Linked DNA regions of Pelodiscus sinensis. The protein of the gene in region 3 purifies or fractionates together with the protein of the main gene of each other region. This does not show direct contact. Links are inferred from orthologs where the notes say so. Each region holds a gene or a part of one and is shown on either strand. Other genes may lie near its edges.

The links.
Region 1: the proteins of SIK2 (region 3) and PPP2R2A purify together in Homo sapiens (affinity purification with mass spectrometry; 3 studies listed by BioGRID and IntAct, with this or other methods). This does not show direct contact. The link is inferred for Pelodiscus sinensis from reciprocal best matches to the Homo sapiens genes SIK2 and PPP2R2A.
Region 2: the proteins of SIK2 (region 3) and PPP2R2C purify together in Homo sapiens (affinity purification with mass spectrometry; 3 studies listed by BioGRID and IntAct, counting the BioPlex papers as one, with this or other methods). This does not show direct contact. The link is inferred for Pelodiscus sinensis from reciprocal best matches to the Homo sapiens genes SIK2 and PPP2R2C.

Annotation. Positions count from the first base shown.
Region 1 is NC_134738.1:8,921,860-8,931,988, reverse strand, and holds the start of PPP2R2A (serine/threonine-protein phosphatase 2A 55 kDa regulatory subunit B alpha isoform), read left to right. Parts: upstream 1-5,379; 5' UTR 5,380-5,464; coding exon 5,465-5,501; intron 5,502-6,239; coding exon 6,240-6,317; intron 6,318-10,129. UniProt on the Homo sapiens protein: Substrate-recognition subunit of protein phosphatase 2A (PP2A) that plays a key role in cell cycle by controlling mitosis entry and exit. Involved in chromosome clustering during late mitosis by mediating dephosphorylation of MKI67.
Region 2 is NC_134715.1:112,514,220-112,524,017, reverse strand, and holds the start of PPP2R2C (protein phosphatase 2, regulatory subunit B, gamma), read left to right. Parts: upstream 1-5,665; 5' UTR 5,666-6,516; coding exon 6,517-6,703; intron 6,704-9,798. Other genes in the region: uncharacterized protein LOC102462366, read left to right, coding at 3,636-3,746. UniProt on the Homo sapiens protein: The B regulatory subunit might modulate substrate selectivity and catalytic activity, and might also direct the localization of the catalytic enzyme to a particular subcellular compartment.
Region 3 is NC_134736.1:6,543,286-6,553,202, reverse strand, and holds the start of SIK2 (serine/threonine-protein kinase SIK2), read right to left. Parts: upstream 3,914-9,917; 5' UTR 3,771-3,913; coding exon 3,621-3,770; intron 3,385-3,620; exon of another isoform or gene 3,064-3,384; intron 1-3,063. UniProt on the Homo sapiens protein: Serine/threonine-protein kinase that plays a role in many biological processes such as fatty acid oxidation, autophagy, immune response or glucose metabolism.

The DNA.
Region 1 (10,129 bases), on a different chromosome or scaffold from region 3:
TTAGGAGTGGGAGATGCACACTGAGCCCTGGTATTACAGGACAGCGGATTGGGGATCATGGTAAGAAAGATTAGGGGACTCTGGTAAGGAGAGAGAAGGAGGAATGAAGAGGCTTGTGGGGGAAGGGGCAATAGGGGTGCACACAGAGCCTCTGGCAGGGCACATCCGCTTAGTTTCACCTCTGGATACAACCCTTTAGTGCTATATAGGAATAGTGGGGAGGTCTCTATTAAGAAAATCAGGCCCTTAGTCGAGTGTTTCAAGCTGGAAACACGAAATCAATGAACATTTTAACTTAAGTAGCTTGCTCCACATCACACAGTGATTTTTGTGGGGTAGAACTGGGACTACAATAAGATGTCCTGAATCTCAGCCCAATTTCTTCTTGGGGCTGATGTCTGATTTCTCATTTCAATCCATGTAAAATCATTGAATTTTTAGATCTGTTCGCACTGGAATTTCAAAGTGAAAGTTGAGGTCTGAGAACCCCATGCTGATGGAAAGCAAAGGGAATATTTATGCTAATCTCTCTAACGCAAACCTGACGAATTCTGCAAGGTGCTAACTTTATTAGATGGAGTCATTTATCCGAGTCCTGCATGTTAATTGCGGCTGAGGCTTGACCTGGGACCTAGTGAGCTAAAAGAGAGCCTTCCTCCTTTTCAAGCCGGCAGGAGCTGTGCCAAGCTGGTCTCAGCTGGAAGTCTTTCTTTGTAGATCTTACAGACTGTCAGGATGAAAGGTGGATGTAGGCTAAAAATGGCTCAGGAGCACGGTTGGGTATATGCAAGGAATAGCAATGAGAACGGAGAAGGGTTATCTAGTAAAATATGAACTAAAAGGCTACAGATGTCGTGGAAACCATCCTGAGGTGGGGGCGAGGGGAGAGCATTCAAACGGGGGGTGTGGCTAGAACAGAGAAATACTGGGTAAGTTGAATGAGGAATGTCATCAGAGGAGTGAAGAGAGACAGAGAAGACTCAACATCTGGCTGAAATAAGGAATGGGGCTGAGAAATACTTTGACAAATAGTTTAGGACAGAAATGATTGGTGCACTGAGAAGGCGGCTTTCTCGGGCACAGATGCTGAAATCTATTCCAGGCCTTTTTTAATGCGATACATCTAACAGCACAAATAAAACACACAACCTCCCCAGGATGGGGTTTATACCCGAATTCTTTAGAGAATATGGTGCTAATTCTTTAAAGCGCCGTGTTAATTTGTAACATGAATCAAAGGGAGCCCAAATCAGAACCTTTTCTCCAGCAGCTAGTGGACCCTGGGTACAGTTGTGGGTGCAGCACAGATGGCAAGTGCTGGCCAGAGAAATGAGCACAGCTGGTGCTGACAGGCACAGGGAAGTAGCAAGCAGCGGTTGATCAGAGGTGGAGGTGCAGTGTGCCCAGCAATAAGTGGGTATGCCCTGTTAGGGAACATAGTTGATGGAGACAGGGCAGGGGGGTAGGAGAAATGAATGTTTGTGGCAGGTGCTAGGAGGAGGTGTGGTGCAGTGGTCACAGGGAGCAGAGAAGTTGATGGATATTCAGTTGATGGGAAGGGCTGAGCAGATGTGCAGGTTCTGTGTAGAGTGGTAGGAGCTGGGGAGATTTGTGAATGCAGCTTACTGAGGTGCAGCTAGCAAGAGGTGGAGATGCATGTAGATGCAGTGGGCACAGCTGGGCAGATGTGCCGGTATAGTGAATACAGTGGGTGGGAATGGCTAGGACCATAGGTGTGGCAACTAGGGGTGTAGGAGTGCTGCAGCATCCCCTAGCTAGAAGTGGTTTCCATTATACACAGGGTTTCCAATTTGGTACAACAGCTGTCAGCACCCCCACTAAAAATTGTTCCAGCACCCCTGGCTGGGATGCAGCTGGCAGGAAGTGGGGACAGGTCTGAGTGCAGTGGGCACAGCTGGGAAGATGTGTGGCTGGGATGGGCTGGGATGCAGCAGGCAGGGGTGGGGTAGTGCGGGTGCAGTGGGCACAGCTTGGGAGATGTGTGAGTGCAGTGAGGACCCAGCTGGCAGGAGGTGGGGTGCAGTGGGCACAGCTGGGAAAATGTGTGGGTGCAGTGAGGACCCAGGAGGTGGGGTGCAGTGGGCACAGCGGGCACAGTGAGGATGCAGCCGGCAAACCGTGGGGATAGCACGGGTGCAGTGGGTGCGACTGGGCAAATGTGCGGGTGCAATGCACACAAGTGCGGGTGCAGTGAGGATCCAGCCGGCAGGAGCTGGGGCACAGCTGGGCAGATGTGCGGGTGCAGTGAGGCTCCAGCCGGCAGGAGCTGGGGCACAGCTGGGCAGAGGTGCGGGTGCAGCGAGGATTCAGCCGGCAGGAGCTGGGGCACAGCTGGGCAGATGTGCGGGTGCAGCGAGGCTCCAGCTGGCAGGAGCTGGGGCACAGCTGGGCAGATGTGGGGGTGCAGCGAGGCTCCAGCTGGCTGGAGCTGGGGCACAGCTGGGCAGATGTGCGGGTGCAGCGAGGATCCAGCCGGCAGGAGCTGGGGCACAGCTGGGCAGATGTGCAGGGTGCAGCGAGGATCCAGCCGGCAGGAGCTGGGGCACAGCTGGGCAGATGTGCGGGTGCAGCGAGGCTCCAGCTGGCAGGAGCTGGGGCACAGCTGGGCAGATGTGCGGGTGCAGCGAGGCTCCAGCCGGCAGGAGCTGGGGCACAGCTGGGCAGATGTGCGGGTGCAGCGAGGCTCCAGCTGGCAGGAGCTGGGGCACAGCTGGGCAGATGTGCGGGTGCAGCGAGGATCCAGCCGGCAGGAGCTGGGGCACAGCTGGGCAGATGTGCAGGGTGCAGTGAGCACAGCGCACGGGGCTGGTGAGCAGGAGTTCGCCGAGAGGCGCCAGCGAGAGCCGCAGGCGCGGACGCAACCGAACCAACCGTCTTCCCCGGACGCCCCTCCTGTCCCCTCCCTTCTCTCTGGAGTTCTCACCCCGCCCCTACCCCTCTCCGAGTGACGTCACCCCCCCAGCTCAGCCGGCGCCATTTTGAAACTGGAAGCTTGGAACGAGAAGGGGGGGGGGGCGGGCTGGCAAGGAAAGACCGACGCGAAGAGCGCGGGGGAAGCCGAACGGAGCCGGCTTCGCACCGCCCCCCCCCCGGGGGACAATCTGCCGCCATCCTCCCTCCACGCTCGCCACCCGCCCGGCGCAGCGGGCCGCCTGGAGAGCCGGGAGGCCGCTCTCTCCGACCCGGCCACTCGGGAGCCCAACATGGCAGGTAAGGGGGAGCGAGCCCCCTCCTTCCCGGGGGCCGGCCCCCGCTGCCCACAGAGCCCAGGGGGCGGGGGGAGGTCTGTGGAGGGGCAGGCGAGGCCGCTAAAATGGCCTTGAATCAGCCAGCCACGCTGAGCTGCTGCTGCCTGCTGTGCGTGGAGGTGGCATGGACTTGCTGGGCACCTCGGTCTCCTTTTCCTCCTTCCCTCTCTCTGGTGGCTATTCCTCCCTCGGAGTGTGGGCTCGGTTTCTCTTCCTCCTTTTTAAAAAATTTGCATTCCTAAAACCTTGAATCCTGAAGTGCCCTTTGCATTGCATACGCTTGTCCTATTTTTTTTTCCCCTTCTAGAAATCTGTGCTCCTTCCCCTCTTTTGCTTCCCTGCTTGCAACACATTTGTGTTTCACAAGGAAGAAGGTGGATGGAGGTCTGGGGGAAAAAGCCTTGTATTTCTGAAGTTCAGCGTGTTAGGAGGTTTCTAAGCTGGGTGTGTCTTTTTTTTTGGCTTCCCCAGACTTTCTGGTTTTGCGAGGAAATTGCACGTATGTGTTGTGTTGAAGGGGGTGCAGATCTGTACAGGAGAGTGGCTGTAGGGTGCAGATGCGATTGTGTTTAGAGTGCAGTTGCACCCTACTGTCGGGTGCAGCTATGTGGGTAGCTGCAGAGAAAGGTGAAATTGGGAAGAGGATGTAGTTTCTTAGAAAATTCAAGTCTCTCTGAGCGTGTGCAATAATGCATGGTGGTTGTATGTCTAATTTTCTTAATTCTGGAGATTTATGTTCATTCTCCATTTTTCAGGTTGTTTATCTTGCATCCTAAAGAGCAATTTGGAAGATAAAAATTATCCACATGCATAGGATGTCCCTGTCTCTTTCTTGTGGTGATATGTTCATTTCCCCCTTCTGCAAATTAATTGCCTCTTCAGTGCCATGCATTTTCTAGAGCAGCATGAGAGGCAGTATTTAGGTTTGCACCTTGCTTCCCACACGCGCACACACACCAGGCTATGTCACTCCACCCTTTTGAATCTGCTGAAACAAGGCCTTTAATGTAGCAAGTTGCATAAAAAATAAAATACAGTTTGCAGCATATAATGTTTTTTCTTGCAAACAGACATTCTCAAAATTTTTCCATGGTGTTAAAAGTAAGAGTCAAATACAGATGGGGGGAGGGGGGAGAGGAGAAATTGGATGGATAGGGGTTTTGGATGGTTGGTGAAAGATGCTGAAAGTGGGATACTTTCCCTATACATGTATCAAAAACAAATATTGCGGTTCATATTGTATAGATCAGCGTTTCTCAACCTTTTTTTTAAGTACCCCTTTAAAAAAAAAAAAAGTACGCCCAGTACCTACAGTTATATTTTTTTAAAGGGGTACTTAAAAAAAAAAAGGTTGAGAAACGCTGATCTTTACAATATGAACTGCAATATTTGTTTTTGATACATGTATAAGTACCCCCAGTACCTACAGATTTCAGACACACTTTTTTTTCTACCATTGCAGGACATTTATTTACACAACTTAATCGTAGCCAGGCGGGCAATGAAATTTTTGGGTGTAAAAAGTACAAAAATAATAAAGCACTGTAAAATTTAAAAAAATTCAGTTTTCTCCAAATTTCAGTTGTGTTGACGTACCCCCCTCCAGACTTCTCTTGTGTACCCTTAAGGGTACTCGTACCACTGGTTGAGAAACACTGGTGTAGATTGATATCATGATAAGATTTCCCCATCACCTTGGCTGATTCTAGTTCACGTTGTCTTTCCTAATTCTTGGACTTTGTAAGAAGCTCCAAAAAGATATTACAATCTAATCCTTTTTGGTTTATTCCTCCGCCTCCCCATGCCCTCTTTGCCCGAGCAGCCTCTTGATCCCTCATGGAGAGAGGGATCATCCTGCTGTTGCTAACTTGAACTTAAGTTAATTTGTTCCTCAACTTGGTGTGGGTGGGGTAGGGAAGGATCCTTCCTGCATGTCCCCTCTTGTTCCCCAAAAATGTTGCATCACATTAATGCCTCACAAGATACATCTGTTCTTTTTTGGTTGTGGGTTGAGAAGGAATTTCCATTTTGATATCCTCTTGCAGACAGAGCAAACTTGTTTCAATTTCTCTTCCTGTCTGGACCCCAGCCCAGTGATTTGCTAAGAATGAAATGCAAAAGAAAGGGGTGGATTTTTTTTGTGTGCTTTTGGGTGGTGAGGTTCAAATGAATCACTACCTTCTGCGGAGGTGGTAATGTTCCTGAAGTTTTCTCTTCGACCCATTTTCTACGGTAGTTATACTTGCTGTTAGCTTAAGGCAGATTGTTCAGTTTGCTGCACAGATTCCTTGCTTTTAAAAAAATCTAAGCCTGACAATTTCTTTAGCTACTATTACGACAGAGGAGGGAAGAGGTTTATAAACTTGCTTTAAAACTTGTTTCCTCTAGTCTGAAGTACTTAAGCGGTATAAAGTATTTTGCAAAAGAAAAATTGTTTCCTTTTTTTTTTATAAAGTGCCAACATTTAATTATTTGAAATATTTGGAAAACTTGTTAGGGCCATTCTCGCACCTAATATTTTACTTTGAAATTTAAGTCCCTTGTAAGTGAAGTGCTCTATGTTTTAGAGGGCACTGAAGTTTTTATATTAAAAAAGTGTTGTGAAATATACCAGCTGTTGCTCATTTTTAACATAACGTAGTTTTATTAACACTAGCCGTGCTTGTTTTGATAGTTCTGTGAGTTTTTTCATCAGTTACAAAGAGCAACTTTTGTCATTCTATCATTACTGTTGACAGATGTTGCTTTAAATATTGGGCAAATCACGGGCAAAAGCATTGTCAGGGCGGGGAGGCGGTGGGTGGTGGAGTTGCAGAGAGACAGTTTGTAATCAAGTTTTGGAACCTATGTCTTTGCATAAGAAATTTTGATTGTTGTAGGTGTGTCCAGTACTGACTAAATTGTGTCACTTGCCAGCGGTGGCTACCATCTCCGTTTACTGGAATCAATTATTTGTTTTGCTTTCTCTAGGAGCTGGAGGAGGAGGGAATGACATTCAGTGGTGTTTTTCTCAGGTGAAAGGGGCTGTAGATGATGATGTAGCAGAAGGTAAGAACAAACTTCTTCACAGTGACTACATCTGATTGCTGTTGGTTAAACTTAGCAAGGGTGTTGCTGAAGTATTTCCTCCAAAACTGGGTTTTACTGAACGTCATTTTAGCCAAATCAGTAGTGCCACAAGACCACTCATTGTTTTTGAAGTTATGGACTGACATGGCTACCCCTCTGAGATAATTTTAGCGAAGTAGGAAAGCAAGTAGAAACATTGTCATTCCAGTATATTCTGGGATCCGATTTGTATATGGTAGAAGTGCAATTCAGCTGATATCCCTGGTCCTCCTGCTGTTTGTTAGAATTGAATTTGCCCCATAGATTGCAACACTAGTTAACTTGTTTTCCAAAATATCTGTCACATGACACGTAATGGCCATTGAGACTGAGGGACTAACTTGTCTGTTTTCCCCATCAGTGAAATGGGAATAATGATATTTTTCATAAATTCTCGCAACAACCCTCTAAAGAATGTTTGCACAGCACCTTGAAGATGTAATGTATCTGACACTATGCAAAACATCTCCCAGTCTTTCCATGCTGATTTATAAATCAGAATTACAAGCTTTTTTTGTACAAGCTTTTCAAGTATCAGTTATTTTTCATGATGAATTATTAGTGGAAACTGCCTCTACACTTTCGTAGTATAAGGTTCCTGTTAGGGATGTGAATGTGTACATGGTTAATCCATGAGCCTGGGCTCATGAGTTAACATGCACAGTTACACACAGTCCTTCCCCTCACCTGTCGCGGCTGCATAGGTGGGGTGGCGAGAGCTGGTGCATGCAGGGAGCTGGCTTTTAAACTGGCTCTCCGTGTGTACCAGCTCCCACAGAGCCGCCTCCCTGTGCATGTACCCGCTCCCATGGAGCCATCTGCCTCTGAAATATCTGGAAATGGTGCTCTTCAAAAGTTTTGTGTGATGCTTAGCAACTGAAAGGCTTTAGAAACAAATAGGTTGTAACAGATTTCAATAACTTCTAATATATTTTGCCTAAGATGGATATATTTTAAATTGTTCAGCAATTAGCATTCAAGATTGAATGTTAATGGCAATTTAGATAATGGTTGTATAGTTTTTTTCCTACCAGACTTCAATTTTTATGGATTTTGTTTGGTATTCTGTAGCTACCTGGCTTTTGAATTAAATGTAAACAATTGAGGAAATCTTGACTCTGCCTATTTTCCACTGATAGATGAATCCTATGAACAGGACGGAAGAATATTAGAGCTTTTCCTTTTATGTTCAGGCATCTGTTCCGTTACATATAGTAATGGGTGGTAGTTGTTAATAAGGTTTTTATGGGGGTGAATTTTTGTGTTGCGTGTGTGGGTGTGGTGGGATTTTTTTTTGTATTGTAGTAAACAGCTGTGATTAAATGGCTCTTCCAAAGATCTGGAAATCCAAGAGCCAGACTTATTTCTTAATTTCCCCTCTTGGTTCTTAAATATTATAGTTCCTACACTGAGTATGAAAGATGATTTAACTTCCTGACAGCTGCAATAGCTAGCCACAATACCTTAACTCAGGGTTTCCCAAACTTTCTCAGCCAGGGAGCCTCCATGGGTCCTGAAAATTTTGTGGAGCCTTAAAATTTAATGATTTTTAATTTAATAGGTACCCAGATAGACAGACAAAGTTTAGAAATTCTGTTTTTATTTCTTGTTTATTTCTTAATTTTCTGAAGGGGGGGGAATATATATCAGAAAATTAGTGACAAAATAACAGGGTCATACAATTGTTGTTAATATTTTCTCAAGCAGCTGCTGGACCCCAGGGCTCCACAGAGCACACTTTGGGAAACCCTGCCCTAACTAACTTGCATTTCAACATGACTGTGTTGCTTTTAACAAATTTTTGTATAAATATCTGGTTTTAATTGTAAAAAGGATCTGAGTTGCTCATTGTACAAGCTTTTTCTAGATAGAGACAAGAGTATGACTTCATAGTCAGCTTATATCATCTTTTTGGAAAGGCTTTTTTAGTGTTCAATGGGGGAGAAGAAGACTGGGATTTTGAAGACAGGGATTTTTTGTAGTCGAGATGTACACTGGAATAGCTGCCTAAGTAAGGTCCTAGGAAAATTAAATGGGGCTAACCGACCATAGTGGATTTTGTTGAGTGGGAATTTTTACCCATATGGATGACTCTGATATAGCATTATGAAAACCCTTACAGAACAACTGAAAGATGTCTGTCCATCTAATCAAACAGTTACTTAAGCTCCCACCCAACTATTTAAAGGTACTCGTATACTGGAGATGTCTCTTATCCTTGAAATACTGTTCCAGTAGCTTAAACCCTGTGTTTAATTGCATTTCTTAAGTTTATTTTCTTGCATTTGAGGTAGTACTACCTATGTACTCAGGAAACACATGTTTTAATCATCTTCTTTATGAATTTGGGACTACCATTTGACATGTCTGGTATTGTATAGTGTCTCCTTTAAATTGCATAGAAAGAAGTACAGGCAGTCCCCGACTTACGCGGATCAGGCTTATGTCGGATCCGCACTTACGAACGGGGCTTTTCTCGCCCCAGAGCTCGCGGGCGGCGGGACCGCCCAGAGCGCAGCTGTCCTGCCACCGCGTCCTCCGGGGCGAGAAAAGCTGCTCCGGGTCTCCCTGGTGTGCTGGGGGGGACTCCCCAGCACAGCAGGGAGACCCGAGCAAAGCCGCACAGGCAGCGGGACCCCGCTACCCATGCGGCTTTGCTCCTTTGCCCCGGAGCAAAGCCGCAGAGGCGGCGGGACCTCTGCGCCTCCGCGGCTTTGCTCGGGTCTCCCTGGTCTGTTGGGGGGGGGGGGGGGGGAGGGGGCGCAACTAGTGCGCCCCCCCCACCCCCCAGCAGACCAGGCTTTTGTTGCGTGACGCCTGGGGTAGAGCAGCTGGGGTGCTGCCGGGTTGGTCCTGCGGGGACCTACCCGGCAGTGCCCCAGCTGTTCTGTCCCAGGAGTCCAGATTCAGCCGCTGTTGAAACTGATCAGCGGCTGATTCCAGGAAGCCGGGGGGCAGAGCAACTCTGCCTAGGGCTTCCTTTAGTCAGCCGCTGATCAGTTTCAGCAGCGACTGAATCTGGAGCCAGTTCCGACTTACATACAAATTCAACTTAAGAAAAAACCTATAGTCCCTATCTTGTACGTAACCCGGGGACTGCCTGTACAGTAATTCCTCATTTACAGGGCTTGACAAGCGGCAGCGAGCCCTGCTTGCCAGCCGTGCAGTTTGGCACTCTGCGCATGCGCAGACCGTGCTACGCCTGCGCTGATCACGCTGCGGCGCCGTGCCGGCTTAAAATCTACTCATCCTGGGCGAGTAGATTGACTAATTTGTTGAGCCCTGCTCATTTAACACAGTAGATACGTTTAAGAAAATGATCATGCTAAGTGAAAACGTGTTATGCGGGGTCAATTTTCCCATTGAAAATAATGGAAAAGGTGGGGGTTGCGTTTCAAGCGCACGTGCGCTCGCAGCTCCAGCCTGCACTTGTTAGCAGCTGGGACCAAGACATAAGGTTGGGGGAGAAAGGGAACTGGGTTATAGCAGGGAGGGGAGGTGTTTGGCTCTGGGGAAGGGAAGGACAGGGGAGGGGGCTTGCAGCCAGTGGCTGGGTTTCTCCAGCTGGCCAGTTGCGGGTAGCTGCGTGGGGCTTCCTCTGCCTCCTTACAAAGCGGCAGAGGTTTGCCATTCACTGCGCTGTTCCCCGGCGACCCCCTCTGGCCGGGTGCCTTGCGTCCAGCAAGGAGGGGTTGCCGGGGAATGGCGTGGGGAGTGGCGAACCTCCGCTACTTTGTAAGGAGGCAGGGGAA
Region 2 (9,798 bases), on a different chromosome or scaffold from region 3:
GGATACTGAGGCTATGTCTATACTACACGTTTTTGCAGCAGAAAATATGCTAATGAGGGACTCATTAGCATAAGTCATGACATCATTAGCATATTTTCTGCCATTTCTTTTTGTGCAAGGGGTTTTTGTGCAAAAAGATGCAGCGTAGCCGCTTCCATTTTGTGCAAAAAAACCCCTGTTTTGCACAAGAGCCATTCTTCCTAATTTTTTGAGGAAGAACGGCTCTTGTGCAAAAGGGAGTTTTTGCGCAAAAAGGAGCCATCTACACAGCTCTTTTTTATGCAAAAACCTTTTGTGCAACAGGGATCCGAGGAGGAAATGCAATTGAGAGCGTGACCTATGCAAATGAGTGCTCCGTTTGCATTTCCTCTTGCAGAAGTGGCTTGTAGTATAGATGCAGCTTGAGACACAAAAAATCAAATTCAACTCTAGCAGACACAGTTTCCATTGAAATCCCTGGGTGTGCCACAGGCTTGCACTAAATGTAGCCCAAAGTGGTTAGGCAAAATGCCAAAGGACACAGAAGTGGTTATTGACAGAGCTGATGTTAAAATACAGAGGTTTCTGGCTTCTCACCCCATTTTCAGTTTCACATTAGTGGTGTTGTTACCACTACTGAAACTTGATTGGTATTTGCAGAGGGAAGAGGGAAGCTTAAATGGTCAAGACAAGAGTAATTTTTTGGAAAAGAAATATAATTGAAAACTTCTTCACCAGAATGCACGGATTCACCCTGCCTTTAAACAGTTTATTTTGTAATACTATGGGAAATATCACAATAATTTTTGCACTCTCATCATAGCCATGTTGATCCCAGAATATTAGTAAGACAAGGTGGGTGAGGTAATATCTTTCAGTGGCCCCTCTTCTGTTGGTCCAATAAAAGCTATTAATGACCTCAGCCATGAGAAAAATGGTTCTATGAAAAATAGTGCTGGGAATGAGAAGGCAAGCATCAAAGTTAGGGTGGAAAGCAATCTGTTCATTGCTAGTCATTAGCTGGGATGGACTTGCATGGTCAACAAGAGTCAACCAGATGTGTGACTATAATAACGAAAGTTCTGCTGCTGTTTCATAACTAAATGACTATGAGACACAGTCGCCTCCTGTCATGACCTTGCATCTGTTTGTTCCTTTATGTAACAAAGTCCTTTCTCTTTTTTTAATGAAAATGCAGGGTGATTAAATCAGCAACGGGCAACCTAGGTTAGTGAATAGGTTGTGTGAGTGGCCCTCCTTCCTCTCTGTGGGCCACAAGATTGTCATAACCAAGATGGTCTCCCAGGATACATAGTTTGGCTAACTGCATTTGCGTACTTAGAATTTGTGCAATGTGCCAATTGAACAGTAGCAGTGCTTTGATTGGATGTAGAGGGAGCACACGGCTTTCACAGTCAATGTTGTGTGCAGTCAGCTCCCACTTCACTTCATGTACCCTTGCTTTACATGTGTACCACTTTAGTAATACTCAGGGCCAGATTAAGACCTTTAGAGGCCCTAAGCACTGAAAAGATTATGGTGCCCCCAAAATAAAAACAATACTATACCATCAAATCTCATTTTTTGGTGCCCCTGCTTTGCTGGTGCCCTAAGCACATGCTTAGTCTGCCTATTGAGTAATCCATACTGGTCGGGGAAAAAACAGTGACATTTGGCAATCTTGTGTGTGGGTAATGGTACACAATAACTCAAAGGTCACACACAGATGGACTGCATGCAACTTATGGGCCACAGGTTTCCATTGCTGTAAATGGAACTCATAAATCATTGAAGAGACTCCATAAACTGCAATGGTTCTAGTTTAGTGAAGCTAGTAAATATCTTACACCTAGACGCTACACTATATTCCAAACTAACTTTTCTAAAAGTTAGGAACAGATATTGCTTTGTTTCCTGTGCTATATACACTGTGCCTTTTAAATTCTAAAACCGAATTTGATTATTTTAAAAGTGTGATCTTTCATTTCTAAGACTACCTTGTTATTAGTTCGATCTGGTGACCGGTCTCACAGAAGTTTGCAGCACTTTAGAGAGTTTTTTGGTTCCTTTCATGATTATTTTTAGATGAGGTTGTGCTATATTTTTCCCTGCTTTACATTAGGAGACAGCAAGTGCCATGTTGCTGCAATCTATGTCAATGCAAGTCTGTATCTGCATCTTATATTTAGTGCAAATCTATCTACCATCTCTGATTTATGTTCTTACAAAGAGGGTGGTATGTAGCTGGGAGTACCACAATTTCTACTTGTTTAGGTATCATAGGCAGCTGTAGTTGTTTTCTTCCTGTTGGAGTGAGAAGATGATCAGGGCTTAGAATCCAGTCTTGGGTTACATTATTGGCTGTGTCACAGATTCCCTACTGCAAGTCACTTCATCTCTCTGGGCCTCAGTTTCCCCTCTGTAAAAGGGGACAATAATACCTAGCACAAAGCAGTATTGTGAAGACAGATTTAAAAAACATCCAATTCCTGACTTCCATTATCACATTTCTGTGTACAGTACAAAGTTGAGAAATTCGGGAGAGTTATCAAGATGATTTTGTGGCTTACACACCTAGGCTACATCTACACTGCAGGCTTTTTGTGCAAGACCAGCTGTTCTTGCACAAAAACTTGCAGAGTGTCTACACTGCACATGCGTTCTTGAGCAAGTAAATTTACAGTAAAGCCTTGGAACAGAGGGCTTCTTGCACAAAAGCTATTCCTCTCCTCATGAGGAATAAGTCCTTTTGTGCAAGAGCTCTTGTGCGAGAAGGCAGCATGGATGGGCAACAGGGGTTTCTTGTGCAAGAAACTCCTATGGCTAAAATGGCCATCAGAGCTTTCTTGCGCAAGAGAGCGTCTACACTTCCATGGATGTTCCTTGTGCAAAAGCAAATCTCTTGCGCAAAAGCACAAGGCAGTGTGGACGCGCTCTTGCACAAGAATTTTTGCACAAGAACTCTTGCGCAGTACAGTTCTTGTGCAAGAAGCCTGAAGTGTAGACGTAGCCCAAGTGTAACAGAATCTTGTGCTGTGCATACACATATGTATATAGGTCTGGGGGGAGATATTTAGGTCTCCCTGCTTTTTGCTGCAGATCTCATTTAAAGACCTCAAACATTTTTATCCACAAATACCCATGAAATGAAAACTGGGACATGATGTACCGCTCCAAATAGCACTTAGATACCCTAGTAACTGGACACTAGATAAATTACATAAAAAATAGCAGTTAAAGGTAAAAGAACTATGGTTTTATGAATAAAACCATGTGTAGTGGGGACTTGAAAAGTCATAGCGGTAGAAACTCCAGCCCATTTTTGGTGCCATTTAAAAATAGGAATAGACCTGAACTAAAATTTTGGATAAACTACAGCAAATTGTGTGGGATTCAGATCCAAGTGAGAATTTTGCAGCTGGACTCTTCCTGTAATGGGATAAATGAAACCTCTGGTTCCAAACACTGGAAAGACTTCGTACTTGAATTCAAATATTGTGACTTGGGTTTATCTCTGAATGTAGAACTCCATGACTTTTGAGATACCGCTAATCGTGTTCCTTTTTTGTTCCTTGAGCCCTAGTCTAGACAACATGTGGTAAACACACTTTAATAGAAAAAGTTAATTTGATGGGAATTCTCTTTGGTTTTTCAAGGTTACTTCCACACTTTACGAGTCCCTTGATTATTTTGCAATGAAGCAAAATGAAGATAAAGAGGAGGACAACAAACATTCTGTTGCTTTTTCATCCAATGCAGCAGATTAGTAAATCTCATGACTTACAGCATCTGGGAAATCCAGAAGATGTGAGGAAGACAACAAGGACCCTACACCCATTTTGACAGTCCAGGGCTGAAAGTTCTTATCATTAATGCGATATAGATAAAACTAGCAAGGCCACAGAGTATCATAGCATAATTTGCTTCTTGATCTTGCAGTATACAACTCAAACCCAGTGAAGTCTCTTTGCTGTCCCTGGCACACCACTGTGACAGCAAAGCTGGTATGGTACCAGTAGTAAAGTTGGTTCAATATAATGGGGGAAGAGTATTTGTGTTATTGACTCATGCCAAATTCCAGGAATCTTTTGTTGGTGGTGTTTTAAAAGTTTGATATCTCCCTGTTTTGCTATTTACCTGGGAGTTTTTTGTGATGTAGCGGCTTTTCTCTCCCCCACTTTCCACATCCTAGTGTGCAGGAGCATGATACACAATCATACTATGAGGATTTGCCAAACTAAATCTCATTGAACTATTAAACATGCTGCTTCAGGCAATGGAGAGTACATGATGGTTTACAGCAGCGGTTCTCAAACTTTTTGAGCTCCGGAGACCTTTACATGAATAAAAATGTATGTGGAGCCCCAGCGATCCACTGATTGTCTGTGTTGTACCTATTGATGTTTCTAGTTTGTCAGCCTCATGGAGCCCCTGGAGATGTCTCCTCCGTAGACCACAGTTTGAGAAACACTGGTTTACAGGAAGGTGGAGAAAAACCGCACACTGATAATCACCAAGACAGTTGGGCAATACTTTGAATAGGATGAAATCCTTCCTGGCCTCTGTGGTGATCACCAGATGCACTGAAAAATTAGATTTCATTACCCTATCTTAGCATAGGTGCGAAATAAATTACAGTTTGAATATTATACTTAATAAAAGCTAATTATAACCCACTTTGGAGGGATAAGATTTTGGATGCTGAAGGCTGATCTTATACTGTTTTTTTTCCCTCTCTGACAACCTCAAAAATAATCACAAAAATTGTTCAAAAACTAAAGACAAGATTAAAAATGGACTTTCTATAAGCCTAGTAGAAGACAAACATTAACAGCAAACAAATGCAGCATCTTAATATTTTAGGCTTATTGAAAACAGAGTAAGTGGCCAAAACATCAGTGTGTTTGTGTAGCAAATCTTTTGTCTGCTGCTAAGGCTCATTCTGTGGATTGTTTTCTCAAAAGCAGGCACAGGTAAGCAAATGTTATCATTATGTAAGAGGGTACTGATCTAGCGGGACCCTGAGGGTGCCAACAAACACAGACTGGCTTTTTCAAACTGCTCAGCAACAGCTGAGACACTTTAAATGTTATTCTGCACCTTTTCAATGAAAAGGGAATGGTTTCCAAGTATTTTCTTTGTGTTGATGTTTGTGGTAAAGAGAGAGAGAGAAAGTCATTTGGTAACAGTGCATCGCTCAATCACTAAACCTAAATCGACCTGTATTTAACTTACATGTAAATAAAACAAGATTGTCTTATTTATTTCTCTGTTATATTTTAGTCATTTAAATCACAAGCACTGGTGTCTCTCATTCTTTTCATAATTTTAATCATTACAGGTTTGTTCTCTTCAGTGTAGGATAAAACCGTCATAAAAGTGTCATGAAGAACTTTTCTTCTATAGATCACAGATGTGACTGGTGACCCATCAGATTGGCCACTGTTCTGTGCTGTTTGCTTGTAGTTAATTAATTAGTTAGTTTATTTTGTTCTCCAGTGTTCTTAATATCACACTGCAGAATCTACTGGAAATTGTACATAGGTTGCAGGAGGAGAGATGGAAGAAAGGAGAAGTATTTTAATACATTTGTGTATAGCTGATGACACACAGAATTGCTACATAAATCACACAGATCTAGGGACTTAGAGCTAGACATTTTATGAGCTCCAGAAACACAGTTCTCTAACAGCTGAGTTAAAATACATTTCCTTTAGCTGCTGGTAAAAGTACAGTTGTCTTATTCTTTCCATGATCATTCAATCTCTCCTCTCTCTCTCTCTCTCTCTCTCTCTCTCAGAGAGAGTACTAGTATCTTACAAAGGGAAGGGGAAAAATGAAATTACTTTGTTCACAGCTCTGCATTTTCAGGGCTGAAATGTCCTGTCTAGTAATTGGGAAGTAGCATCTTTGCAAATGCCTGTTGGTCTAGTCAGGGTGAGTGTGTGAATTAGTCCAGAGGTCATAACGTCCTAGGAAAGTTTTATATCAAGTTCAGTGAAAGGAGTTTAGAAGAAATATACAATTTGTAAAGCTGAAGGCAACTTTAGTATCAAGACTTAGTGCTTGATCTAAGAAGCTGCCTAAGTAATAAATGGCTAGCAACAAATCTATTTCCCCAAATACCAGTGATTAGAACTGCATGTAAAATACTTACATCTCTACATATATTTTAGATTTGTGTGTCTGCCTGTCTGTGAGCTTGTCTGTGTGTGTGTGTCTGTCTGTTCAAGAACTCCTTCTAAATCAGTGTTTCTTAAACCTTTTAAGACCAAGGACCAAACAATTTTTTTTATGAGGAACACCAAGGATTTTTTGTTGAGGAAAAAAAAAGGTGATCTGCCCCTTTAAGGATGGCTATTTTAAATTCTGTTCTCTGCAGGACACCTCCGACTGCCTCGCAGCACACCGGTGTGCCACGGAACACAGTTTAAGAAACCCTGTTCTAAACAGTAAGAGCTAGGAGCACCAAATTTGGAGCGCAGCTTCCTCTTATCCTAACTTAAAGCACAGTCAGGGTTTACTTATGCCAAGAAAATGGGAAGTGCTGGGAATGGAAAGGGAGGGGCACCGAGGACGGACATGATACTCAGAATGGCCACTGGGGGCAGTGAGCCTGCAGGGGAGAGCAATGCTGCAAAGAGACCACTTGGGAGGCAGATGCACCACCAAGAGAGTGGCCAGAAGGGCTGGGGCTCCACCGCCTTGCTTGTGACCAGATCAGGTAAGTAGTCTCCCTGCCCCGAATCCTTCTCCTCTCCCCCAGCCCTTGCCCACAGCATGTGGCCGAGGGAGGTCCGTGATGGCTGGGAGGAGCAGGGGGGTGGGGTGGAAAGAAGGCCCTACTGGCTGAGACAGCTGGGGGGATGGAGGGAGGAGAGAGACGAAAAGGCCCTAACAGCTGGGGGAGGGAGAGAAAGCACCACTGGATGGGACCCTCTGCCCTGAACCTCTCTGCATCTCTTACCCCACCATATACATCCCCACCCTCTTGCCTTGCCTGCCCCTACATCTCCAAGGCTCTGCCCTGACTCTTGCACCCCCACAATGCCAGCACCCCTCCCTGAAGAACCCGGGCAATGCTGGGTAAGTCTTTTAGTACTTAATAAGGAACGGATACCCTCTGAGCTGCAGGTCAGCAACATGTCTGAATCGTTTTCTTGTTGGAAACTTTAGTAAGTATTTAATTATATGATAGCCTCACCAGTAAGGATTTCAGGATCTTCCCCTTGCTAACAGCTGCCTGCATTACTATGTATGACCAACATTTCTATGGTCTAAATTTTAAAGGGTACGCCCAGTTGTCCTGACCTACTTTTATCCATGAGTTGACTGTGGCAAGAAGCCAGCTGATTTATTTTCAGAGCTCACACCCTTTGCCTGAGCCCTGCTCAGTTAGCAAATATTTGATATATGTACTGCATTTCTTTCTTATGGGATTTTATGTGATGAAAGATTGTGCAATCCCTTTTCAGGACTTGTCACAGCATGTACATATCTTATGTTGCTTGTTGATTTTTTCCCACTGCTGCCATGTTCACTATGGATTTGCTTTAAAACAGAACAATATAATTAATCTCCTGCCATATTCTGACACCCAACATGATATTAATGCTGGCTCAATCAAACTCATAGGCCTAATAATAGAACTTTTCAAACTCTAAGAGAATCTATGAGGATTGATTTCAGCCACCATTTTGGCTTCTCCCCTCCTGAGCAAGGTATGCCTGGAGCCACATTGCAACAAGTTTAATTTGTCTGATTCAAAGCACTTCTCTGCCTAGAAGTAAAAAAAACAAAAAACCAAAAAAAAAAACCCCCAAAATGTATTAAACATCAGAGCAGCTATGCTGTCATGGACTCATGGGAGAATGCTGCAAAATCTCACATTTATTCTGTGGAACTGATCTACTTGTAGAGTCTTATTAATGTGATTGTTTAGTTCAGCCACAAAAATGGAGGGGAGGGGGGCGGAAAATCATTCTCCATGGTGGTTACAGTAGCAGCCCTGATAGCAGCACCATGACCTTGGCTCACCACTTTCTTCCCCTTTGCACAGTGACCAGCTAATGATGCAGTTTAAGCCTCGCTACCTAGACCAGTAGTCTCCAACCTTTTTAGGCAAAAGATCACTTTTTGAATTTAAGTCAATCCAGGACCTACCTCATACCTAGACCATCCTGCCCTGCTCTTTCTCTGAGGCCCTGTGCCTGCCCCACCCCTTCACGAAGGCCACCCCCTGCTCACTCTGTGGAGATTGGGTACAGAGGGGACACCATGACCTCTTACCCCTTCCTCTGTCTCCCCCACCCTGCCCAGCAAGCAGGAGGCTCCTGGGGGCAGCTCCAGGGCAGAGGGAAGGAGCAGCACCGTAGTGGAGGGAGGAGCAGCTGAAGTGCCAGCACTTGGTAGCCTTCTGGCCAAACCAGTTAGGATCACCCCTCAGAGGCTCCAAGATCTACCAGTAGATCCCGATCTACTGGAAGATGACCACTGACCTAGACAATGCTTGAGCACCAGAGCCTTTGTCCAGTGGTACTTGTGGCAGGAAGGTATGAAGCAGATGTTCCTCCTTCTGTGCTTTGTGGGGGCATTGACACAGATGATCTGTACTAGAAGGGGCTGTGTCAGTACCAGTGATGAAGACAAAGGCCTGGTTTGCACACAAGTTGAATTGGTTTAACTAAAATTGATTTAAAAACTGATTTTATTTAAATCGGTGGAAACCTCTGTTGGACACAATTAACTGCTTTTATCTGTCCAACTTGGGCCTGTACATTTACCAGAGTATGCTAAACGCCTATGTCAGGTTTCAAATCAATTTAGTAGTGTCCACAATGATTGAGTTAATACTATAGCAGCTTAAAAATACACGATTAGTTAAACAGGTGCAACATTGGGTGTGGGCCAGACCCAAATACAAAGTCTGTTTAATGCAAACAAGAGAGGGTAATAATTCTTGCCTTGCTCCCAGCAATAACAATAAAAATAAAACAATAAAATTTAATAAAAATGAAAGTTAAATCAATGCAGTAGCCCAGAATCAACAATTTGCTTGAGCCAAATGGAATTTGAAAGTGAAGAATTCTTATACCCCTCTTCTAAATCTAAACCTGTGATTTTCAACGTACTCGGAGGAAAGAAATGGAAAAACATCAAAATTATGACTACATGGTCTGTTTGTTTCACTGAACTAGAGAGGCTGTTAAATTCTCTAACCTCTTGCTGCTCTCTGCAAGGGGGAAGTGGGATTTTACACCCATGAATGATTTCCCATACCATAACCACTTGAAAATCAGATTCCAACTACTTTGTGAGGCCACATCATCCTTTAAGTGGGCAGGGAAAGCATCAATGAGTACAGTACAATGAAAAAGCAGCTATGACTCTTGTACCCTTCTATGCCCTTGGCTGATAATGGGGGTGGCAGTTATAAATAATTTAAGAAATTCATCAAGTGTTGTAGCAATCACCAGTGGAAAGTGAACTGCAAAGCACTTCAAATCTATTTTGCTTCACCAATAGGTGCTGAACGTCCCCATTGAGCAGGATAAGAAATATATACACAAGTAAATCAGTGTTAAAAACTTAAGAAACCAAACACCAGTTACGGGGCTATGGTCACTATATTCTGACTTCACGAGCCAAAGGACTTTGTGGGCAATAGTTGTGTCCTTGCATTTGAATTGGAGCAGAGTTATTCAGTAGGACTCTGGGAGTAGTTACAAACACAGTTGGCTGGACTACGAGTGGTACTAAATTGACTTCCGTGAGAGTTGGACCCATTCCTGTCAGCTTTGAATTTATCCTGTTATTTGT
Region 3 (9,917 bases):
GTGCCCCGGCCCGGGCACAGAGCTTGGGGGCCACGACGCAGGTCTCCCCTAGAGCAAGCCACTCTGGCGTGTGCCAGTAACCTGACACCAGGCCACTGGCTCAGGCACGCTCTCCTGGGTCCACCACAAGCTGGGCAGGTCTTAGCCACACCATAGGTCTTGAGCAGGTCTTGGCCACTTTAAAGCGGCCACTCTGTGCTCTGAGCTCACTAAGGAGCAAAGTGCCCCAAGAAGTGCATTTGGAAAGGCTGGGCTGGGAGTAGGCTGTGGCTCCTGCTGCAGTGGCCGGGGCTGTGCTGCCCAGCACAGTGGTGTTCCTGGGGGTTGGGGCATGCAGCTTGACAAATTCACGGAAGGAGGCAGGGTGTGCGTAGCGAGGGAGCAAGGGGGAATAATGTGTGTGTGAGGATGGGTGGTGCAGTAAGGGGGAATGGTGGGGGTAAGAGGGATATAGGAATGGAGGCAGGGGGATGGGCAGTGGGGGGCGCAGAAGGGGAGGTGTTAGGGAAGGATGGGGGCGCAGGAATGGAGGAAGGAGGTATGGGTAGGGATAGAAAGTGTGGGGTTAGGAAGGATGGGTGAGTGCAGGAATGGAAGCAGGGGGATGGAGGTGTAGGAATGGAGGATGGAAGTGAGGAGTAGGGATGGAAGGAGGGGAGCGGGCTGTGGGGCATGGAGCTCCAGGATAAGGACTAGTGGCCCAGATTACTCCACCAGGCTCTCTTCCTGCCTGGCCCAAATCTGGTTCTCAGTAGGGCACAGGCATGTTAAGCTGGGAGCTCCCCCATGGTTCCATGGTTCTCCATCATGCCCTGTCCAAACTAGGGATATTAAATATTGGTTAACTGAATAGTCGATTAACCTCATGAATTCTTATCAGTTAGTCAACTATTCTATAGTCCCTGGGTGTGGGGGGGAGGAGGGGAGCAACCAGTCGCTTACATCTCTACAAACTTAAGATAGTCTTAAAATATAGGAGGTTAAATGTGAGATGAGCACAGAGCAACTCCAGAAATACACGTACGTGTTATTAGCTACACACTGAGTTTCAATGTTCTCCCTTCTAGAAGAATCACTGGAAGCCTCAGCAGATCAAGAACCCTTCCAATGTCTTGCGTGTACACATGTTGCAGAGCTGGTGGAACTCACTGGCCTGAATTTGAACAATGTACAGCAGTGGTCCCCAACCCAGTGCCTGCGGGCGCCATGGCGCCCGCTTAGTGACCAGGGCAAGCCCAAGCCATTCTTGCGCCCCGGGCACGCAGTGCATGCCTGGCCCGTACCCCGGGCACCCGGCAGCCCCAAAAGGTTGGAGTCCACTGATTTACAGTACTGGTACTTGTTCAGAATGTTAATTTCCTTTTCCATTAGTGAGAGTTAATAAGGTCCCTCTCCCTTGCAATTCAGCTAGCTGCACCTACTAACCAAACCCTATGCTTATAGATGTCTTGTTGTAGAAAGAAGTGATTGTGCAAAATAAATAAATAAAAGAGTGTACAACCTGGTTTAATCTCAAAATTTTGGAAACAGAAAACCTGCTACAAAAATTATGGGTAATATATAGGTTTAATTTGAGCTGGATCATGTGAAATACAACTGTTATTCATAACTTCACTCTGCCATTCACAGTCCTGGAATCACCCCCATCATGGTAGTAGCAATTCACAACGTGAACTATAAAAACAGCTTTCAAATTGAACACAGCATTCAAAGCCCTAACCAAAATGCAAATCTATTTAACCAAATGTAAACTTATTTCTACTGACCTTTAGTAAAGTTTTTAGAACGTACTTTAGTTCAGGCATTTTTTAAGCTAACTTGAGTCAAACTGAGTGTTAAGTTGTTTGGACTTTATATAATTTTAAGTTTTCATAAAACCGAACACAGATCTAATATCTGAATTACAATGAAAAGTTATGATTGACACAGCAGTGTCACTGAGACCAGATGACTGAAGACCAGAAAACAAATAGATTTATCTACTGCCTTATAAGTGAAACATTAACACTGTAACTCAACATGACTTAAAATTCCAACTTCCAAACTTGGGTCATCTTTTGTAGCAAGGAAAGGATTTAAAAAGCATTTGACTTGGTGCCTTTACTTCTTAAACTGCAGTTTAAGCCATAACTTGATTAAATTTCCTTTAATGCTTTGGATTTTCATAGAAGCACAGAAACGCAGGGTGGAAGGGACCTCAAGGTCACTAATATTGTGCACAGTTTTGAAGAGTGACCACTACTATGTGCCTTCAACAATTTTAACAGTCAAATTACCATTGGAGTTAAAAATGTAGTTCTGCCTCCTGTCTATTGATACTTGTATCATTTAAGATCACTGTGAGTGAAAACTTACAGCTTTTAATTGGTTTACTTTGTGCTTTTGACATACCGTAGTTTTGTTCAGTTTCCTTGTCTATGTGGATCATTCACATCACATCAAAGGAAAAGGTTTATTAAAAATAGGAAATATAACAATTAAATCCATGTAGAGGAACTGAACGTATTCATTTTTTTACAATGATTAATCAATGAGATCCACACATGCTGCTTCCATCAGATATTTAATATTTTAAAAATATATCTAACTACCTTTTTACCAAAGCAGACTAGTAGTATAATTATACATAATGCATAAAATAATTATGGTTTTCTGAAACTGGTATTGAATGGATAACTTGCATTTCTGAAAAGATGACTGTTTTTAATTTAGTACCCAGACAGGCTGATTCAGGGGAATGGGATATGAAGGAATCATTCTTCAAACTGAAGTACTGAAGCTGGCCCTAACACCTGAAGATACTACCCGGAATGCAAACGGGACAGCAGAATAAGGAACAATTTAGCCTTTTGGATTCAAAGCTGCAGTGCTTGATTTGTGCTGGGGCTTGCCAGGTTAGACACATCGTAGCCCCAGCACCCTTGCACTTGGCACCTCAGGTATGACAGTAAAATAATCGCCTGCTCCCTTGCACCTAATGGTTTGCGCCCCAGCCCCTCTGCAGTTACAAATGAGGCGCTGCAAAGCTGTTCGGCGTTGGGCCGTGACAAAGAGATCAGCCACCTGCTGACCGCTCCTCCTGAGCTGACCATCCCGAGACCCGCGCGGGGAGGAGTTGTTCTCCACCGCTTCGCTCCGCCACCAGCGCAAGCTGGCCCCAGGAGGGGGGGGGGGATCCTCAGCCACCGTGTCTTGCTAGCGCCGGTACCGGCAGCCGCAGAGGGGCAGGCAAGTGCAGGCTCCAAGGCAAACCCAGCGCCCCGTCGCCGGCTCGCGCCTGTCCGGCTGCGGCCGCCCCAGGGGGCCGGAGGAAGCTCGCTCTGCTGTCACGGTGACTGGGAGGGAGGCGAGCTCCAAGGGCGAGTCCCCCCCCCCCCCCAGCCGGACCCCGCGGGCGAGAGGCGGGGGGGCGGCTCCATCCCCGGCCCCGCGGCGGGACAAAGGGAGCCGCGGGCCGGCGGCGCGGATGGCTTGGGAGGGCAGGGCGCACCTGGTGCCACCTCCGTCCTCTCGGCTCCGGCCCCCGTGGCGGGGGGAGGGGAAGGGTCTGGCCCGGCCCCGCCTCCTCACGAGCCGGTGCCCGAGGGCGGCCCGGTCCCCCCCCGGCCCGGCCGCCTCACCTCGCTGCGCGTGATCCGGTGCCGCCCCAGCTTCACCACGGCGAAGTTGCCCTTCCCCAGCGTGCCCTCGATGTCGTAGAACCCGACGCGGACGGGCCCGGGCCCGCGGGGCAGCAGCGCGGGGGGCCGCCGGGGCTCGGCCATTACCATGCTGGGCTCGGGGGGCGGCGGCGGCTCGGTCCGTCTGCGGCCGTGCGGCGCCCTCCAGCCGCGCCGCCCCGCCCCCTCCCCCCCTGCTCCGCGCGTCACCGCGCGCGTCAGCGGAGGAGGGGTCTCGCCATGGCAACCGGAGCCACCGCCGCCGGAGGAGCAACGGCCCCCTGGGGCTGTTCCCTGCGTGGCGCCCCCTCCCCCGGCAGCGGGGCTCTCCTCAGAGCTGTCCCCAGGAGCGCGCCTCCCCTCCCCCCCCTCCGCGCCGGCTTGTGCCTGGGCGAGGCCATTCGGGGGGGGGGGGGAGACTAGGCTACCTACACGCTCCCCCCCCCCCAGCCCTAGTTAGCCCTGGCTGCCTCTGCTCCCACAGCTGCTCTACCCAGTGGGACTGAGGCCTGTGGGGGAGGGGTGCACAGAGGCTCCCCAGGGGTGCAGCGAGGGGGCACCCCATTCAGCAGTTATCGGGAAGGGGTCAAGGGGGGGCAATGCACCGTCCCAATGCTACCATATGCATTGCTGGCAGGACCCCCTCATTGCACCCCCCCGCCCTTCCCTCCACCTCTGTGCCTGTCACTTCCCTGGGCCTGCGCCCCCTTCCTTGGGGGCATGGAGCGAGCTGGGCCCCCAGACCTGCCCTGCTGCTGGGCCAGTCCCACCCTGCACCAGACCAAGGAGCTTCGGGGGATTAGGACACAATCAGATGCACACACATTGCCCAGCGCTCACCCCCCCTCAGGCGCCCCCGGCAGGGGCCACTTCGCCCCAGGCAGATGGCTTGAGGGCTGACAGAAGCCCGGCTCCCCGTGGGTAAAAGAGGCAAGGGAAGGTGATGCCTATACAGACTGGGGCCAGGAAGCAGGGGCCATGTGCCACTAGGGGCCTGTCCCTATGGGACGTGGGGTTGGCTCCCATGGCGGGCCTTGGGCAGCAGGGATGGGGCTGGGGAATTGCCTCTCCCAGTACTAGGTTCACCCACTACCCAGGCTCCAGACAGAGGCCAGGATGTCCAGTATTGTATTAGGCTAGCCTGGATGGGCACCACGCACTAGGTACTGTACAAACCTGTAACAGACATCATCCCTGCCCCACATAGTCTCATGAGTCCAATGTGCTATGTTACTCTCCCCTCTGCATCAGCAGTGGCTCATGTACTGATGTATTTACTGTGTGTACCTGTACTGAGGAAAGGTTTGCCAAAAATCATTAATTAGCAGAAAAAGGAAGCTACACTGTTTACTTCTCCACCCAAAGCCTCCAAGTTGGGCCTGTGCTTGCTCAGTCAGCAGGATGGGGATCCTCCACATTGACTAAATTCACACCTTAACAAAGGACAATGGGGAAACTGGTGTTCACCTTCAAAGCTACTATTTTCTGAAGCAAAATAACCTACTTCCCAATGACAGCAGCATTTCAACTGGGCGAGGATCACATCTGTAAGGAAATACCCCCAGTACATACACACCCCTCCTTGTCAGTAAGAGCACGAAGCTCTTGCGTTGGGCAGTGTTTCCAATGGGCCAGCTACGGCCCAACGGCGACATTGAAGGCTGTATTGGAGGCTTTGATTGCTGATGAAAAGTTCTGAAATACAACTTCAAAATAACATCCAGGGAAAAAATTGCAGCTGAGAGAACAGCCTTTCTGCAGATGGTTTTGCTACCCCGATTCACATCTTGTTCTGCTTCAAACAAAGTGATCCACCAAGTACTTTGCACACACTTTTACTTTTTTACAGTGACCTGTGTGATCTCAAAACAAAATATTGAGGAATTATATTCAAAGTCAACTTCACTAACGATCCAAGAGTATCAAATGTGAAGCTCATGTGCCCTCTAGTGGACAACTGCCCTATGTATATTAATAGATCACTGTAGGTGTTATAAATTTAAGGTGTCAAAGGAGATCTTCTGATTAATTTCTCTCCTCTGCACATATTACAAATTAGGATAAATCCAGCATATGAAGAGATCGCAGCAATGACACCGACAGTTGTCTGTGCTAAAAGATAAAATGAGTTGCGCTAAAAGATAAAATGAGTTGCTAGAGAAGTCTGGCCAAAGAAGGCTCAATAGTCCACTAATCCCCCACACTCATTCAAAACTAATTAACAGCTTCAAGCAAGAAGAAACCAAAGGCACCTACTTTCAAAGATAAAGTCAGAAGACAGGCACTTCTCCCAAGATTTTCAGAGCCAGTTGAATCCATACCTGAGGCAGGGAATCAGACTGAATCCCATACAAGGTGAAAGCGCCTTTGCAGTGGTCTTACCAGGGTAATCTTAGAACTGTTCTATCCACATATTTCAGGTCTTTGCACTGGTGCTGCAGTGAAATTTTCACCTTCATTAGTGAACTCCACTGCTAAAAATCAGACTGTGGATGTTTCAAGGACTGATGAGCAGTCTGGAATATGCTTCCCTAATTAAGAGATCATCATATTAGAGCATTCACTTACTAGGTGAAATGGGAAAGCTCTGGTAAGTACAATAGTGCAGTATAGAGTCACAGCAGTTCCCTAGAGAGAAAAAGTTAGTTCATTGCCACCAATATTTGTTGTTGACCTCTGCCAGTAGAGACAATGCAGACCCATTTGGTCCATCCTCACTGCCTGAAGAAACCAAGTTAATTGTGGTGTCAAATCTGCCACAAGTTGCGATAGCTTATGGTACATTGAGTCTTCATAGTGAAATAACAGCAAACTAAAATATTGTTAATATTTAAAGTGGTGGATTAGACATGGACCTGCAGTTCCTTTGTTCTAATCCTAGTTCAGCCAATGAGTTGCGTATTCTTGGGCAAGTTATATAACTCCCGTCCATCATCCCAAAAGGCACAGTGCCCAAGCAGTGAGGTTTTATTGATGGTTAATTGCTATACAGATCCAAACATGGAGAATGTGGGATACAAAGCATCAGAACTATATTTCTAAGTTGTTAGGCAGTAATATTCATAGGTATATACTTCAAGGAGAAAGTTGTGTGGGGGACTTTATTCTTAGCAAGGAGGCCACCTATGTGCCCTCCAAATTATAACCGAGTACTTGGAATCCTGTCTCTAACTCAAGACAAAGAGGAACAGAACTGACCAGCGGGGTAGAGAGATGCCCACATGTCTTGTTTTGATAGTTGAGATGACATACCTTTTCCTTAACTGAATCACACTTTTACCCAACTGACAATTGTGACACCAAAGAACAAAATAGATGAATTTTTTGCAACGAAACAGGGTTACAAAAAAGGCGAATGCAATTTTGGGCTGTTTACAGGAAGAGACCCTGTCACAAGACTGGGAATTAGTCATCCTCCACCAGGCCCTGATCCCACCATGTCTGAACCTTGGCATCACATCTTGTAGGCATCACATCATCTGTGAGCACTGTGTTCAAAAAAAAGAGAACAAAATATCTATACCTTGGCTAAGGGGAAGGACATAACCCTACCGTTAAAGAATGGAAACATCAATGGGAAGGCATTTTTTTAGTGTAGCAGTGCTGTATGTGTAGGAGTGATTGGATGAAAAAAGATTTTTTCTCCCTAATATGCAGCTTAATCAGAGCAATGTATTAGGCTACGGAACCCTCTCATCCCAAAAGCAATGGAAGTGCAATTGCTTGATGCTTAAAACAAGGCTGAACATAAGAACGGCTGTACTGGGTCAGACCAAAGGTCCATCTAGCCCAGTAGCCTGTCTGCCGACAGTGGCCAGCACCAGGTGCCCTAGAGAGGGTGGACCGAAGACAATGATCAGCGATTTGTCTCTTGCCATCCTTCTCCAGCCTCTGATAAACAGAGGCCAGGAACACCACTTCTATCCCCTGGCTAAGAGCCTTTTATGGACCTAACCTCCATGAAATTATCTAGCTTCTCTTTAAACTCTGTTATAGTCCTAGCCTTCACAGCCTCCTCTGGCAAGGAGTTCCACAGGTTGACTACACGCTGTTTGAAGAAGAATTTTCTTTTATTAGTTCTAAACCTGCCACCCATTAATTTCATTTGGTGTCCTCTGTTCTATGAAACAATCTTGTATTGGTTCCTGGGAGAGGGAAAGGATGATTTACCATCTAGCTTCTTGTTCTTAACTTGGATATTCTGTGTCTGTGAAATGGTTTGGAGCAGATTTATATTACTTTCATTAATTATAAGTGTGAAGGTGAGAGTGTTTCACTAGTTTCATCTTTGGTTTCGCTGGTGCCTGCCCTTTTCCAAATAACTTGGGTTGATTGCCCAAAGGTGAACTCAAACATATCTGACTGCAAGAAAGCACGTTTTCCATTAAGCTTTTGCCTCTGTCCCACAAGCAGCAGCTATGAGAGGAGTGCAGGAATCACATCTGTTAAACATCAAAGAAACTTTTTTTATCTCTGACACAAGCACCTGTCCTCTTTCCAGTCTGAAAGCAGCCTTAAACTTGAAGGAAAAGGGAACACTTTGGCACTGAAACATTTAACTTGTTCCTGCACCAATGGCTTGAAAGGTCTCCACAAATGGCATGCTAGATAGGCGGTGACAAGTTCAAGGAGACTTGTTCTTATCAGTTACTGTCACCACCATATTTAACATTTTGATTTCAGAATGAGGAAAGAACACAGCTGATGTGTTATTCGCTCCCCTTCCAGATAAAAAAAAATGAATGTAGGGAGCTTTAATATTTAGGCAAAATGTTTCAAAATTAGTTTACTGAAATTAACTACTTAAAACCATATTTCAACACCTAAATATCTGGCCTGAACTTCAGAGGTGCTGAATGCACTTAGAGACTTTCACTGACTTCAATGAGAGCTGCAAGTTGTTAGTTCTTTTAACAATAAGGACATTCATTTAGTTACCAAAATAGGGATGTAAGAGCATACACACCCAAGTTTTACTACGTTGCCTGAGCTTTGTACTCTCTTTACCTGTTTTTCAAGGACTCAAAGTTGCTTATGTTCTGGCTAAAAACAGAATATTTCAAGATCTGAAGAATAAAAAAATGAATACACATACAGCTGCTTACTATAATGCACTAATTCATTTAATGAATCCCAGGAAGTTAGCTATCACCAGTCAGTGGCTACCCCCTTCCTAGTGCCAATCATCAGCAATTGCCTAGCATTATCCACACTGGTAGTCAACTGGCAGGTTATCATTTTCTCACTAGGAAGTGGCCATATTTTGGCAAGGATTGAACTTGGACCCCTGAAGTCAATGACAGGCCACCAAATCCTGACCGGCAGGCACTCTCTCAGATTGCCAGCTATCCAAGACAGGCCCTATGTCTCTATCAACTTGACCTGTAATACTTATGAACAGACAGAAACAGCTATAGCAACTTACAAATATTTTAATGTTTGCAATGAATATGACTGGAGGCATACTGCTCCAGAACTGGCTCCCTGAGTGTTTTTATTGGCAGAGTCAACTCACAGCAACGTCCTGCACTCACTTCTGTTGTTTTTTCACTCCCATATAAACATGTTCTGCCAAAGCCTTTGGCGCATCTTTGCTTCCTAGAGACTCCTTCAAACTGGTTTTGCTTCAGTCTCATGATATTTTTTGAAGTGCAACAGAAGAAATAAATGTTGCATGTGCTCTGTAAGTAGCTACTGACATTTCAGATGCTTCAGAGCCAGATTTGTTTGATGACAGGATGTAGCGGCATGAGTTTTTGTATATTTCCTCATATGGCCAGAGAGACTCACCTGTGGAGCAGTATATGTCCATAACTACACCTCTCTTCCTCACTTATATCACTTTCCCTCCCCAACCCAATCTCTAATCAAGAAAAAAAAACAGATGGATTAATGATCTGAAGGCTGGAAGCTCCTTAGAGGTTTCTTAGTGGAAGCAGAGTTAGCAAATGTAGTTTTTCCAGTCGTGTGAAATTGTCCTGAAGTGCTCCATCCTACTTATTTTGTACAGTTCTGTATTATAGCCAATATGCCTTTAGATAAAGCTCTTCCAAGCCAGGAAACAATCATTTGATTGGCACATGGCATCTACTGCAGAGCATGATGTACATATACATAAAAAAGGGATATAATGTTGATTGCTGAATCTCACCAAACTAACGGAAGCCTCTCTCTGGGACACTGGTGCCGACTCTTAACTAGGAACACTCTTCTGAGAAACCAATAACAGTTGCAAGTGCAGACTATTAAACAGCTCTC